3 linked regions of the Canis lupus familiaris genome follow. The protein of the gene in region 2 interacts with the protein of the main gene of each other region in a biochemical or structural test. Links are inferred from orthologs where the notes say so. Each region holds a gene or a part of one and is shown on either strand. Other genes may lie near its edges.

Region 1 (3,722 bases), on a different chromosome or scaffold from region 2:
CCATACTTCCACCTTTTTTTTTCTTCTAGCAGAATGAAGTTTTTAGACCAATTAAGTATTACCTTTTGTTCGGTTGTAGTTTTATTCCTGACATCACAACCTTTTTGCTGCCTCTGAAGTTGCTTTATGCCTGGAGGTGGGCCTTGCAATGATAGGTTTGTCTGTAGACTTTTACGAATGTCACTCTGAAATTGTAAAGGAATTATGAGAGTTGTGGCAGCAGGAAAGGGGAAACCCAAGCCTCTCAGAGCTTTGCAGAAGTAAGAGCAACTAACATTTTCTAATATATGCATTGTTTGTTCTCAGCTGGAGCAGCTCCCTCCCCAGGGATAGTGGGATATCTGCCACTTCTTCTTTTTCTGTTTCCTTTTTTGTAGCTTTTAGGACAACTGGAAAACACAGGGCCTCCCCCAGCTGACAAGGAAAAGATCACATCTCTTCCAACAGTGACAGTAACTCAGGAACAAGTTGGTAAGTTCATTTCTATTCTTACTCTGTTAACTTCTGATCTCTATTCAAAAATTCCAGCACCTTCCTATACTGCAGATCTTCAAGTGAAGCTTTAGCACTCCTAAAATTCTACCTAGATGTCATATATGGAAGGTGTCTACCTTTTCATTAGGGTTAGTCATGTTGATGCAAAGTGGATAAACCTTTTTTTAAATTGCAAAGAGAAAGGAAGAGAGTTTTATTCAAGCCTAAGTTAAGACAGTTGCCAGGTTGCACAATCTTCATAAAGAAGAAAGAGCTCCAGGGAAAGACCATTTGGTGAAGGGTTATATATGTTTTGTTTGTTGGTTTTAAAATAGGCTGCATGCCCAACATAGGGCTTGAATTTATGATCCTGATATTAGGAGTTGCATGTTGTACTGACTTAGCCAGCCAGACACCCCTGTTTTTTAAATATAGCAAAGGACAGTTCAGAAAGTTACATACTTTATCTCTATATGACTTGAAGCTTACGGGAACAAGGGAATTTTTTTTCCTTATCCTTATGTTTGGGATGCTCCTTTTTGGTTATTATTATTATTATTATTATTATTATTTTTAACAAAGCAGATGTACAGTATATGCTCAGAGCAGAAATAGAGCTCATGCTTTGAGGTTTTGTGGTCATTTTGATCTTGGTAAATGTTAAAGTATATAGATTCCCTGGGGGTCTAGGGGCCTGCAGATGTTAAAAGCTGAGAATTTCTTTTATCAGCAAGTAAGTTATTTCCTCAACAGCCACCATGTCCTTTTTCTAGGTGCCATGCAGGAAACAAAGAGGTACAAGATAAGACTTGATTTCTTGAAGATCTTACCAGGGGAAGCAAAACTCAACTAGATGATTAGAGAAAACAGTATTTAAAAAAGTATTGAGCAGGTGATACAGAGAAAGAGAAAAAGTAGGAGGCTGGGAATTTGTCTCATATTTACTCTGTCAGATACAGTTAGGTACTTTAGATATAGATATTATCTTATTTTTAAGCATTGAAGGAATTTAATAACAAGGAACATTATTTTGAACTAAGAGTTTCTTCCCCCACAAATTCCAGTTTAAGTTAGAGAAGATTTTAAAGACAAGATAAGCCATCTTAGGTCATTCTATTCAAGGGTAAGTATGAACCAATGTGAGCTGACATGCTCACCCTTTGGAGCTGGTATCATGGTATACCAGCATGGACATGGTATCTGAATCAGGTATAAGGAGAGTGACTTTATTAGCCCTGAAATAGAATCTGGTTTAGGAGTAGTGGGAGGTATGACTGGTTAGGAAGGGTTGGGCCTTGTCTGAGTGGACCTTGAAATTGGCACAGTAGTTAGGGCTGGATATTTTAGATAGGAGGCAAGTTTCATAGCTCCCCAAGTGGAGGATTGAGGGAATTTAGTTGGTCTTTAGGGAACATTAGTTTGGAGGTAGTGCCTGAAATGGATTGGAAGGCAAAAAAAGCCGAAACAGAGATTTAAGGGGCTGCTACAGTATCCAGGTGGGGCGCAGGTGATGGTGGCAGTGCTAACAGGGAAGTGTAGGCTCAATGTCGCTTTGAAGAAAGGCTTTTGTCATTGATTGCATAATAGGATAAAGGAGGGAAAAGGGTCAAAGAGGACTCTAAGGTTTCACAGTTGGGAATTACAGCGCTTGTGCTGCCATCTATCAGGGGTTGGGGAATTGTGAGTGGGCCCTGGTTTGTGTACAGAAGTGATGTGTTATTTTAAATTTGAACTTTTGATTTTGAGGTACCAGCTGGGAATCCAAGTAAAGATGAGCTGAGGATTTCTGTAAAGCCAATATTAGGGAGAATTAGCTGGTTTCAAAGCTTAGGTAAATTTGGAGGGCTGAAGGCTAAGGTCAAGAATACTACCTAGAAGGCTATTCCAGTAGACCAGACATAAGAAATAAAAGCTAGAATTTAGGTAAAGGTGTCAGGGAAAAGTGGAGAGGAAGGAGTAAATCTATTAAGTATAGCCCTACTCCAAGTCCTTGACTGCTGTGGGTACATAGCATGTCCTGGCCACTGGAGACAGACACTAGCTGGTATTAGCCAGATTTGGGAAACCAGACTTTGCTGCCTCATACTCCCAATTTAATTTGTAGCCATTTCCTCACAGAGTGTTTCTTGTCTCTGGACTTGGAGCCTAAGCTATCCTTGAGCTTGCAGTTCTATAGCACCACCTCCTGGTACAGCTTTTTGTTTTTTTTTTAATGATAGTCACAGAGAGAGAGAGAGAGAGAGAGAGAGAGAGAGGGGCAGAGACACAGGCAGAGGGAGAAGCAGGCTCCATGCACCGGGAGCCCGACGTGGGATTCGATCCCAGGTCTCCAGGATCGCACCCTGGGCCAAAGGCAGGCGCTAAACCGCTGCACCACCCAGGGATCCCCCTGGTACAGCTTTTAATTAACTTGTACAGAGGGCTTTAGGATAACCACACTGAAAGAGGAGGTGAAATGGGGAAAATAGCAGGGTAAAAGTGGCTTGAGACGCTGATTGGGAACTGCTAAGATTGCCATGAAGTGTCCCTTGGTTGTGGTGGATGGATTGCCTGTATTTACTCTATGTAGAAACTGCCAAAAGGCTATCACATGTCTGAGAAGATGTTTTTCCTGTTTTACTTAATAGATATCTAAGCCCCAATTTATTTTTTTTTCCAAGTCTTGACATTGAAAAGTAGGCCTTACGTAGTTTCTGTGTAGGCCTTAATGAATTAAAGCCCATTCATGTCCCTGTCTGCTATCACCTCCTCCCCCATTTTGAAATAAAATTTGTGCTTTCTACCTCTTCCACCTAGGATGCGCTTTCTGTTTTTTCTTTACATGTTACTTAAGTTAAAGACACTGGACTGGTTTTTTCTTCCTTTTTTGCTCACTCACTTTAGAAGGCATTTCCTCCTCCAACAGATATGGGTTTAGAGTGTCCAGTGTGCAAAGAAGATTACACAGTTGAAGAGGAAGTCCGGCAGTTACCCTGCAACCACTTCTTCCACAGCAGTTGTATCGTACCATGGTTAGAACTGGTGAGTATAGACAGCTGTCATGTGTGATAGGCCATCTCTGCCAGTCACAGCTTCGGCAGTGTGGGGATGGTTTGGGGTTAATAGAGACAAGCAGAGCAGATTTTAGTTCCTGGCTAATTCCTACTGGCACCATTAACAGTTTTTAGATCATCACTGTATGTTTGGAACTTCTCTAACAAGAGGTTACAAAAGCATAGCCTACAGGTCTTGGGCCTGCCGCTTGTTTT
Region 2 (3,503 bases):
TGAGGCGAAGGACCAGGTGCAGAGTGGACTCCTTCTGGATGTTGTAGTCGGACAGGGTGCGCCCATCTTCCAGCTGTTTGCCAGCAAAGATCAACCTCTGCTGGTCAGGGGGGATGCCCTCCTTGTCCTGGATCTTCGCCTTGACGTTCTCGATGGTGTCACTGGGCTCCACCTCCAGGGTGATGGTCTTACCCGTCAAGGTCTTCACGAAGATCTGCATGCCCCCCCTGAGGCGAAGGACCAGGTGCAGAGTGGACTCCTTCTGGATGTTGTAGTCGGACAGGGTGCGCCCATCTTCCAGCTGTTTGCCGGCAAAGATCAACCTCTGCTGGTCAGGGGGGATGCCCTCCTTGTCCTGGATCTTCGCCTTGACGTTCTCGATGGTGTCACTGGGCTCCACCTCCAGGGTGATGGTCTTACCCGTCAAAGTCTTCACGAAGATCTGCATGCCCCCCCTGAGGCGAAGGACCAGGTGCAGAGTGGACTCCTTCTGGATGTTGTAGTCGGACAGGGTGCGCCCATCTTCCAGCTGTTTGCCGGCAAAGATCAACCTCTGCTGGTCAGGGGGGATGCCCTCCTTGTCCTGGATCTTCGCCTTGACGTTCTCGATGGTGTCACTGGGCTCCACCTCCAGGGTGATGGTCTTACCCGTCAAGGTCTTCACGAAGATCTGCATGCCCCCCCTGAGGCGAAGGACCAGGTGCAGAGTGGACTCCTTCTGGATGTTGTAGTCGGACAGGGTGCGCCCATCTTCCAGCTGTTTGCCAGCAAAGATCAACCTCTGCTGGTCAGGGGGGATGCCCTCCTTGTCCTGGATCTTCGCCTTGACGTTCTCGATGGTGTCACTGGGCTCCACCTCCAGGGTGATGGTCTTACCCGTCAAGGTCTTCACGAAGATCTGCATGCCCCCCCTGAGGCGAAGGACCAGGTGCAGAGTGGACTCCTTCTGGATGTTGTAGTCGGACAGGGTGCGCCCATCTTCCAGCTGTTTGCCGGCAAAGATCAACCTCTGCTGGTCAGGGGGGATGCCCTCCTTGTCCTGGATCTTCGCCTTGACGTTCTCGATGGTGTCACTGGGCTCCACCTCCAGGGTGATGGTCTTACCCGTCAAAGTCTTCACGAAGATCTGCATGCCCCCCCTGAGGCGAAGGACCAGGTGCAGAGTGGACTCCTTCTGGATGTTGTAGTCGGACAGGGTGCGCCCATCTTCCAGCTGTTTGCCGGCAAAGATCAACCTCTGCTGGTCAGGGGGGATGCCCTCCTTGTCCTGGATCTTCGCCTTGACGTTCTCGATGGTGTCACTGGGCTCCACCTCCAGGGTGATGGTCTTACCCGTCAAGGTCTTCACGAAGATCTGCATGCCCCCCCTGAGGCGAAGGACCAGGTGCAGAGTGGACTCCTTCTGGATGTTGTAGTCGGACAGGGTGCGCCCATCTTCCAGCTGTTTGCCGGCAAAGATCAACCTCTGCTGGTCAGGGGGGATGCCCTCCTTGTCCTGGATCTTCGCCTTGACGTTCTCGATGGTGTCACTGGGCTCCACCTCCAGGGTGATGGTCTTACCCGTCAAGGTCTTCACGAAGATCTGCATGCCCCCCCTGAGGCGAAGGACCAGGTGCAGAGTGGACTCCTTCTGGATGTTGTAGTCGGACAGGGTGCGCCCATCTTCCAGCTGTTTGCCAGCAAAGATCAACCTCTGCTGGTCAGGGGGGATGCCCTCCTTGTCCTGGATCTTCGCCTTGACGTTCTCGATGGTGTCACTGGGCTCCACCTCCAGGGTGATGGTCTTACCCGTCAAAGTCTTCACGAAGATCTGCATTGTCTGTCACAAAAAAACCCAAAAAAACAAAAAAAACAATCCGGAGTGTAACAGACCACTCACATGTGAATAGAACGCTAACAGTTACTGGTCATTTTACACTAACCCAAGAACTAAAATAAACCTCGCCAAAAAACCTAAGGCGAAGAAACAGGACAGGTTTTGGAAACTCAAATAAGCTCCAAAACCAAGTTCCAGGCCCCAGGAGGAGAGAAAGCATGGATACCGGTCAAGTGAAGGCGCCGGCTTCCGTATCTTCCCCTCCCCCCTCAGTGATGTCTGGACCGGACAATCCGCAGGATCTCCCCTCCCCCGCCCCGCCTAACCCTTGTGCCCCGCGACTGACCCAAGCCGGCTCCACACACAGGAACACGCGGCCCCACCCCGGATTGTTAGCTGACAAAGCGATGACATCACATGACCGACGCGACGAGCGGGCCCCCTCCCCCCAAACGGGCGCAGGACTGCTCCGGCACTTCGGGCCCACTCGCCGCGACCGGACACGGAGCGTGGCGCCAGCGGGGCCGCGGAGCACACAGGGGCTTCCCGCCCCCACTCACTGCGCAGAGGGCCCCGTCAGGGCCCCACTGGCTCGGCGCGTCTCGCCCGCTCACAGCCATCCCGTCTCCCGGGCTCCTCACGGCCCCTCGCACCTCGGCTTCTCCCCGCACAGGAGCCGTAGCGGACGCCATTTTGCTGCGCCCCCCCCCCCAAGAGTAACCGCGCTCCGGCGCCGCGGGCAACTCCCCGGGCAGCCGGCTGCCCGGCCCCCCGCCCCTGCAGGGCCCCAAGACCCCCAGGCCCGCGCAGCGGCCCGCTCCTCACCAAGCGGCTGTGACAGAAGCGCACGGAGACGAACAACCGACCTCCCGGCCTCCACGGAACTGCCTGCGCCACGCCCGGCGCCTCCTTATATAACAATCGGCCGCGCCGCTCCGGCGGATCCCTGCGCAGAAACGCCGAGAAGGGACTACTTTTCACCGTCTTCCTGGCCTCCAGGGAGAAAACCACTGCCCCAGAATCTTCTAGGAGCCCCCGGAAACGTCGACCTGTCAAGGCTGGGCTGTAGGGCTGAATCTGGCGAGGAGAGGGCCGCGGTCCCGAGCGCCCGCGCGGAGGGATCAGCGCGCCCGTTGAGTGCTGCGTCCGCGGACGTGGCCGGCGCCGGATGCGAGGGGGGAGGGGGGAGGGGGCGAGCGCGGAGAACAGGGCCCGCGGGAGACGGGAAAACCCGGCGCGGAATCGCCGGGCGTCCGGGGCGAGCTGCCCCTGCCGCGGGACCCAGACACCCCTTCCCCTCGGCCGCAGCGGTCCCCGCGGCTCTCGAGACCCGCCCTGGGCGGAGAGGGGTTGGGCGTCGTGGTCCCTCGCCCCTCCGCGACCGCAGGGGTCCTCGCGCCGGGGCCTGCGGCCCGCCCATCCCCCCGCGCGGGCGCGGACAGGACGGATGACTCGACAGATCGCGGCGCGGGGCGGGAGGTGGGCCCGGGCTGGGCTGGGGCAGCGGGGGAGCAGGGGGTGCGGGACGGCCGAAGGCTAGAAGGGGGCGCAGAAACCCCGCACGCTTTGCCCGCACCTATTCGAGAGGCGTCTGGAAGTCCACCGAACTTTCTAGAATGTCCTTTGGCCTTCCTGTACCACCTACGCCGCCTTGTACTAGATACACACACGGAGGCATCTGGTGGAC
Region 3 (3,822 bases), on a different chromosome or scaffold from region 2:
TCTGTGAATTCATGATAAGCTGCCCCTGCCACCCCAAAAGTGCCTATAGGTTCTACTCTCCCACTTATTTTCATTTGGCACTGAGGTGCTGTTTCTTTTAAATCATAAGATTTCGTCATAGAACCAAAATTTCGTGGCCTGTGAAACGCTGCCTCGTAGGACCATTGCTGACATAGCTAGCCTCACCATACACCTCTCCTCCATTCACCATTCTTTCAGGGCCTTGAACGGGCCATGCTCCTTCCTCTTACCTCTGGCTGGCTGATTATTTTTCACTGCCTCTTTCTGACCAAATTAACTCCATTCATCTTTGAGTTTCTTATCTTAAATATCACTTCCTCAAAAATACCTAACCAGGAGGATCCCTGGGTGGCTCAGCAGTTTAGCGCCTGCCTTTGGCCCAGGGCGCGATCCTGGAGTCCCAGGATCGAGTCTCGTGCGTCGGGCTCCCAGCATGGAACCTGCCTCTCTCTCTATGTCTATCATAAATAAATAAATCTTAAAAAAAAAAAAGAAAAAAAAAAAAGAAACACCTAACCATCCCCATTGTTCACTCACACAATATATCTCAATCTTTCAAAGTACTTGGCACAATAATAATCTACAAATACTTAGAAAGCTACATTAAATAGCTATCTGCTAAAACAAGTTCCAAGGATGGAGGACCCGACATCTTATTCATTCCATTAGCCGCAGGACATACTGCTTGGCACAAAGTAAATACTCCAGAAGAACTTTTCGAATAAATATCATCTACAGGGATGGCAAAGTAATTAGTAGGAGGAGCATGAGCTATGGAACCAAACTGAATTCAAGTCCCAGCTCTGTGGGAGTTTTTTGACTACTTATTTTTCAGTACCTCGTTTTCTTCCTTTTAAAATAATAACGGAACCCCCATTACTGAAGATTAGAGGAGTTATTACATTAAAAAATGCTTAGAACAATACCTAGCATAGTTACTAGCATCATGTTTGTCTTACTGACAAGAAAAGTAAAATATTGCCAGCTATGAGAATTAGTTATGAGGTCTGAAAAGACCTTAACACAGCCTAGAATATAGCAACTACTCATTAAATAGAAGCCATCAGGGTCAGCAAACTCAGGTGCTCTCATCGACCCTATTTCATAAACTTTCAGTCTTCTTGACTCAAATTTCAACTTCCTTTATTAGATTTCTCCATTCGGGCTGGAAGGCAGGTTTAAAAAAAAAAAAAAAAAAAAAAAAAAACTTGCTGCCCGCTAGCCTCTATTTAGGTTTAAGGGGGGAGATCCCAAATCTGGCTCCAGTTCTCCAGCGATTTCCTCAGTTTCACACCAGTCTGTACCCCGAGCCCCAATAAATTACCTATACAACAAATAGAACAAAGCAAGGCTGTTTCTTGGCAGTCTTTTTTCAGGCAAGCGTGCTAAAATTGAGGTCGGTCCTAAAATCTTCCCTGTCTTCTCCCAGTTCCCTGCAGGGTAAAAAAAAATCTTCTCTTTGCATTAGCAAAGTGACTTGGATGGACAAGCCATACCCGGGCACTTATCACAACGCAGGCACTGGGGGGGGGGGGGGGGGGGGGGGGGGGCGCCGGTGGGCGAGACGGGGGGGGGGGGGTCTCGCACAGGACTGAAGTGGCCCAAAGTTTTGAGACCGTCGTTCCACGCAGTCTCCAGCCACGTCCCACGCGGGAACGCCGGTCTCGTTCACTGCGCGGCGCTCCAGGCACATTTGTCGGGTTCGCCTTCCCCGCGCTGCAGAGGGTTTTGACGCACTTGCATGTCTTCACGAGGGCTGGGTGGGAGCCGCCGGCTTTCCCGACAAGACGGCGCTCCTGAACCGAGTCGGGAGGGTTGGGGACTGAGGCCCGACGCCCCTGGGCCCCGGGGGGGTGGGGGGGTGAAGGGGGACGCCGGAGTTCAGAGTCCCAGTGCATCACCGCCCGCGCGCTCCAGGCCGCGCTCGGCTCCACCGACGCCGCCTCCCGCGAGGTGCCGCCGGGAAACTCGGGTCTTTCGGCGCGTTCGCCCTCGCGCAGCAGGCCGAGGGACCGGCCCGCGAAACTTCCCGAAGTGGCGGGCGCGGGGGAGCGTCCGCCAGCCGCCGCCGCCGCCTTTGTGGCTCCCGCCTCACCGCCAGCCCCGCTGCTCGCGCCGCCCGGCCCTCGGCGGGGCCCCGCGCGGCTCCGGGCCCGCTCGCCTGCGGGAGGCCGCCGGGCCAGGCCCGCGCCCCCGACTCCGCGGCCCCGCCGCCCCTCACAGCCGAGGCCCCCGCCCCCGCCCCCGCCCCCACCCTGGGGCTTAATGGAGGCGCTGGGCTGAGACGCCACTCGCCTCACGCGGCCTGCCGAGGAGCTGGGCGCGCCCCGCGGCCGACACTTACTCGCCACTCAGCTCGCCGGCTCGCCAAGCGGGCTCGGCGGCTTCTGTCGCCACAGCTTTTAGTCACCAGAAGCGGCCGCCGACAGCTTCGTTGCCGCCGCCGCCGAGGCCGCCGCTGCACTCCTTCCGGCCCCGCCGCGACTTCACCCCGCGCCTGCGCACAGCGCCCCCTCCCGACTAATGACAGGAAGAACCATAGAGGCACGCCGGGTGCTAGGGAGGAGGGGCCTGGAGAGTAAGACCATAGAGAGGGACGTCTGGCCGCTCACCGCCCACTGAGTCTTGACTCCCCCACGAGGTGGGAGGACGAAGGAAACTGAGGGGCCCTTCCCCCAACCTCAGGAAGTGTCGCCTGTCTCCCTAGGGATGAAAAGAGTGGAGGCGGGGGAATGTGGGGTAGGGGGGAGCAGATGCCCATGGAAAGCTATTGGATATGCATTTATTTGCACCCCTTGCCTTTGGCAGGTCATTCATCCAACACCTATTTTTCAAAGAGCTTCCTGTGTGCCAGGCACTGTTGTAGGAATTGGGCATACAACGATATAGAGGGCCCCTGTTCTCCCCAAGTTAATCTTTTAGTGGATAGATATATAACAAACGCACTAAAATACTGGCTCAGGCAGGAAGGGTTGGGGGGGGAACAACACAAGAAAAATAGAGCAGAGGAAGGGGTAGAGAGTGATGGGGATGCCAATGCGGTCATGAAGTCTTCTAAAGAGGGACGTTTGAGCAGAAAACGAAATGACATAAGGAGGTCTTAATCAGAGGAATGCTAGTTAGGAAGAGATTATAGGAGTCTAAATAATACCCAATGGTGACCTTAACTAGTATGGTCAGGAAGGAGGGGGAGGGGGGAATGATCAGAGTAGGGATTTTTTTTTTTTTTCAAGTAGAACGGAGAGATTTGCAGATGGATTGGATGTGAGGTGAGAGGGAAAGGGTAACTGCAAGGTTTTTGGAACGTGCAACTGGATGAATGGGGTTTCAGTCATAAATATGGGGGGAGATTGGGAAGAACAGATTTTGGTCAGAGTAGGGAGAAGTAAATGTGTTTTGGACGTGTGAAATTGCCAACGACACCTTCAAATTAGAGACGTCAGTCAGCATTTGGATATATGAGTCTGCAGCTTCAGAAAGACAGGATCACTCAGGCTAGGGATTTAAACTAGGAATCACTGAGATAGAGATAACGTATGAAGCCATCAGACTAGCTACACTCACACCTAGGTAATGAGTGTAGATAGAGGGGAGAGGACAGCTGAGGACAGACTTCAGGGTCACTTAAACATTTGGAATCTAGAGGATGCTGCGGAGGAAAACCAGGAGAGTATGGTATCTCAGAGGCCCAAGAGACAAAGTGTTTCGACAAGAAGGCAATGATCGGTGTTGCCCAATGCTACTCAGAGACACAAGATGATGCAACTGAACCTCAGGGAAATGATAAGGAGGGACCTTAGC

The links.
Region 1: the proteins of UBC (region 2) and RNF115 form a complex in vitro, tested with the Homo sapiens proteins (3 studies listed by BioGRID, with this or other methods). The link is inferred for Canis lupus familiaris from reciprocal best matches to the Homo sapiens genes UBC and RNF115.
Region 3: the proteins of UBC (region 2) and RNF216 form a complex in vitro, tested with the Homo sapiens proteins (2 studies listed by BioGRID). The link is inferred for Canis lupus familiaris from reciprocal best matches to the Homo sapiens genes UBC and RNF216.

The regions. Positions count from the first base shown.
Region 1 is NC_049238.1:59,229,343-59,233,064, reverse strand, and holds part of RNF115 (E3 ubiquitin-protein ligase RNF115), read left to right. Parts: intron 1-377; coding exon 378-471; intron 472-3,379; coding exon 3,380-3,495; intron 3,496-3,722. UniProt on the Homo sapiens protein: E3 ubiquitin-protein ligase that catalyzes the 'Lys-48'- and/or 'Lys-63'-linked polyubiquitination of various substrates and thereby plays a role in a number of signaling pathways including autophagy, innate immunity, cell proliferation and cell death.
Region 2 is NC_049247.1:5,229,343-5,232,845, reverse strand, and holds the start of UBC (polyubiquitin-C), read right to left. Parts: upstream 2,801-3,503; 5' UTR 2,642-2,800; intron 1,820-2,641; 5' UTR 1,817-1,819; coding exon 1-1,816.
Region 3 is NC_049227.1:12,342,679-12,346,500, reverse strand, and holds the start of RNF216 (E3 ubiquitin-protein ligase RNF216), read right to left. Parts: upstream 2,528-3,822; 5' UTR 2,366-2,527; intron 1-2,365.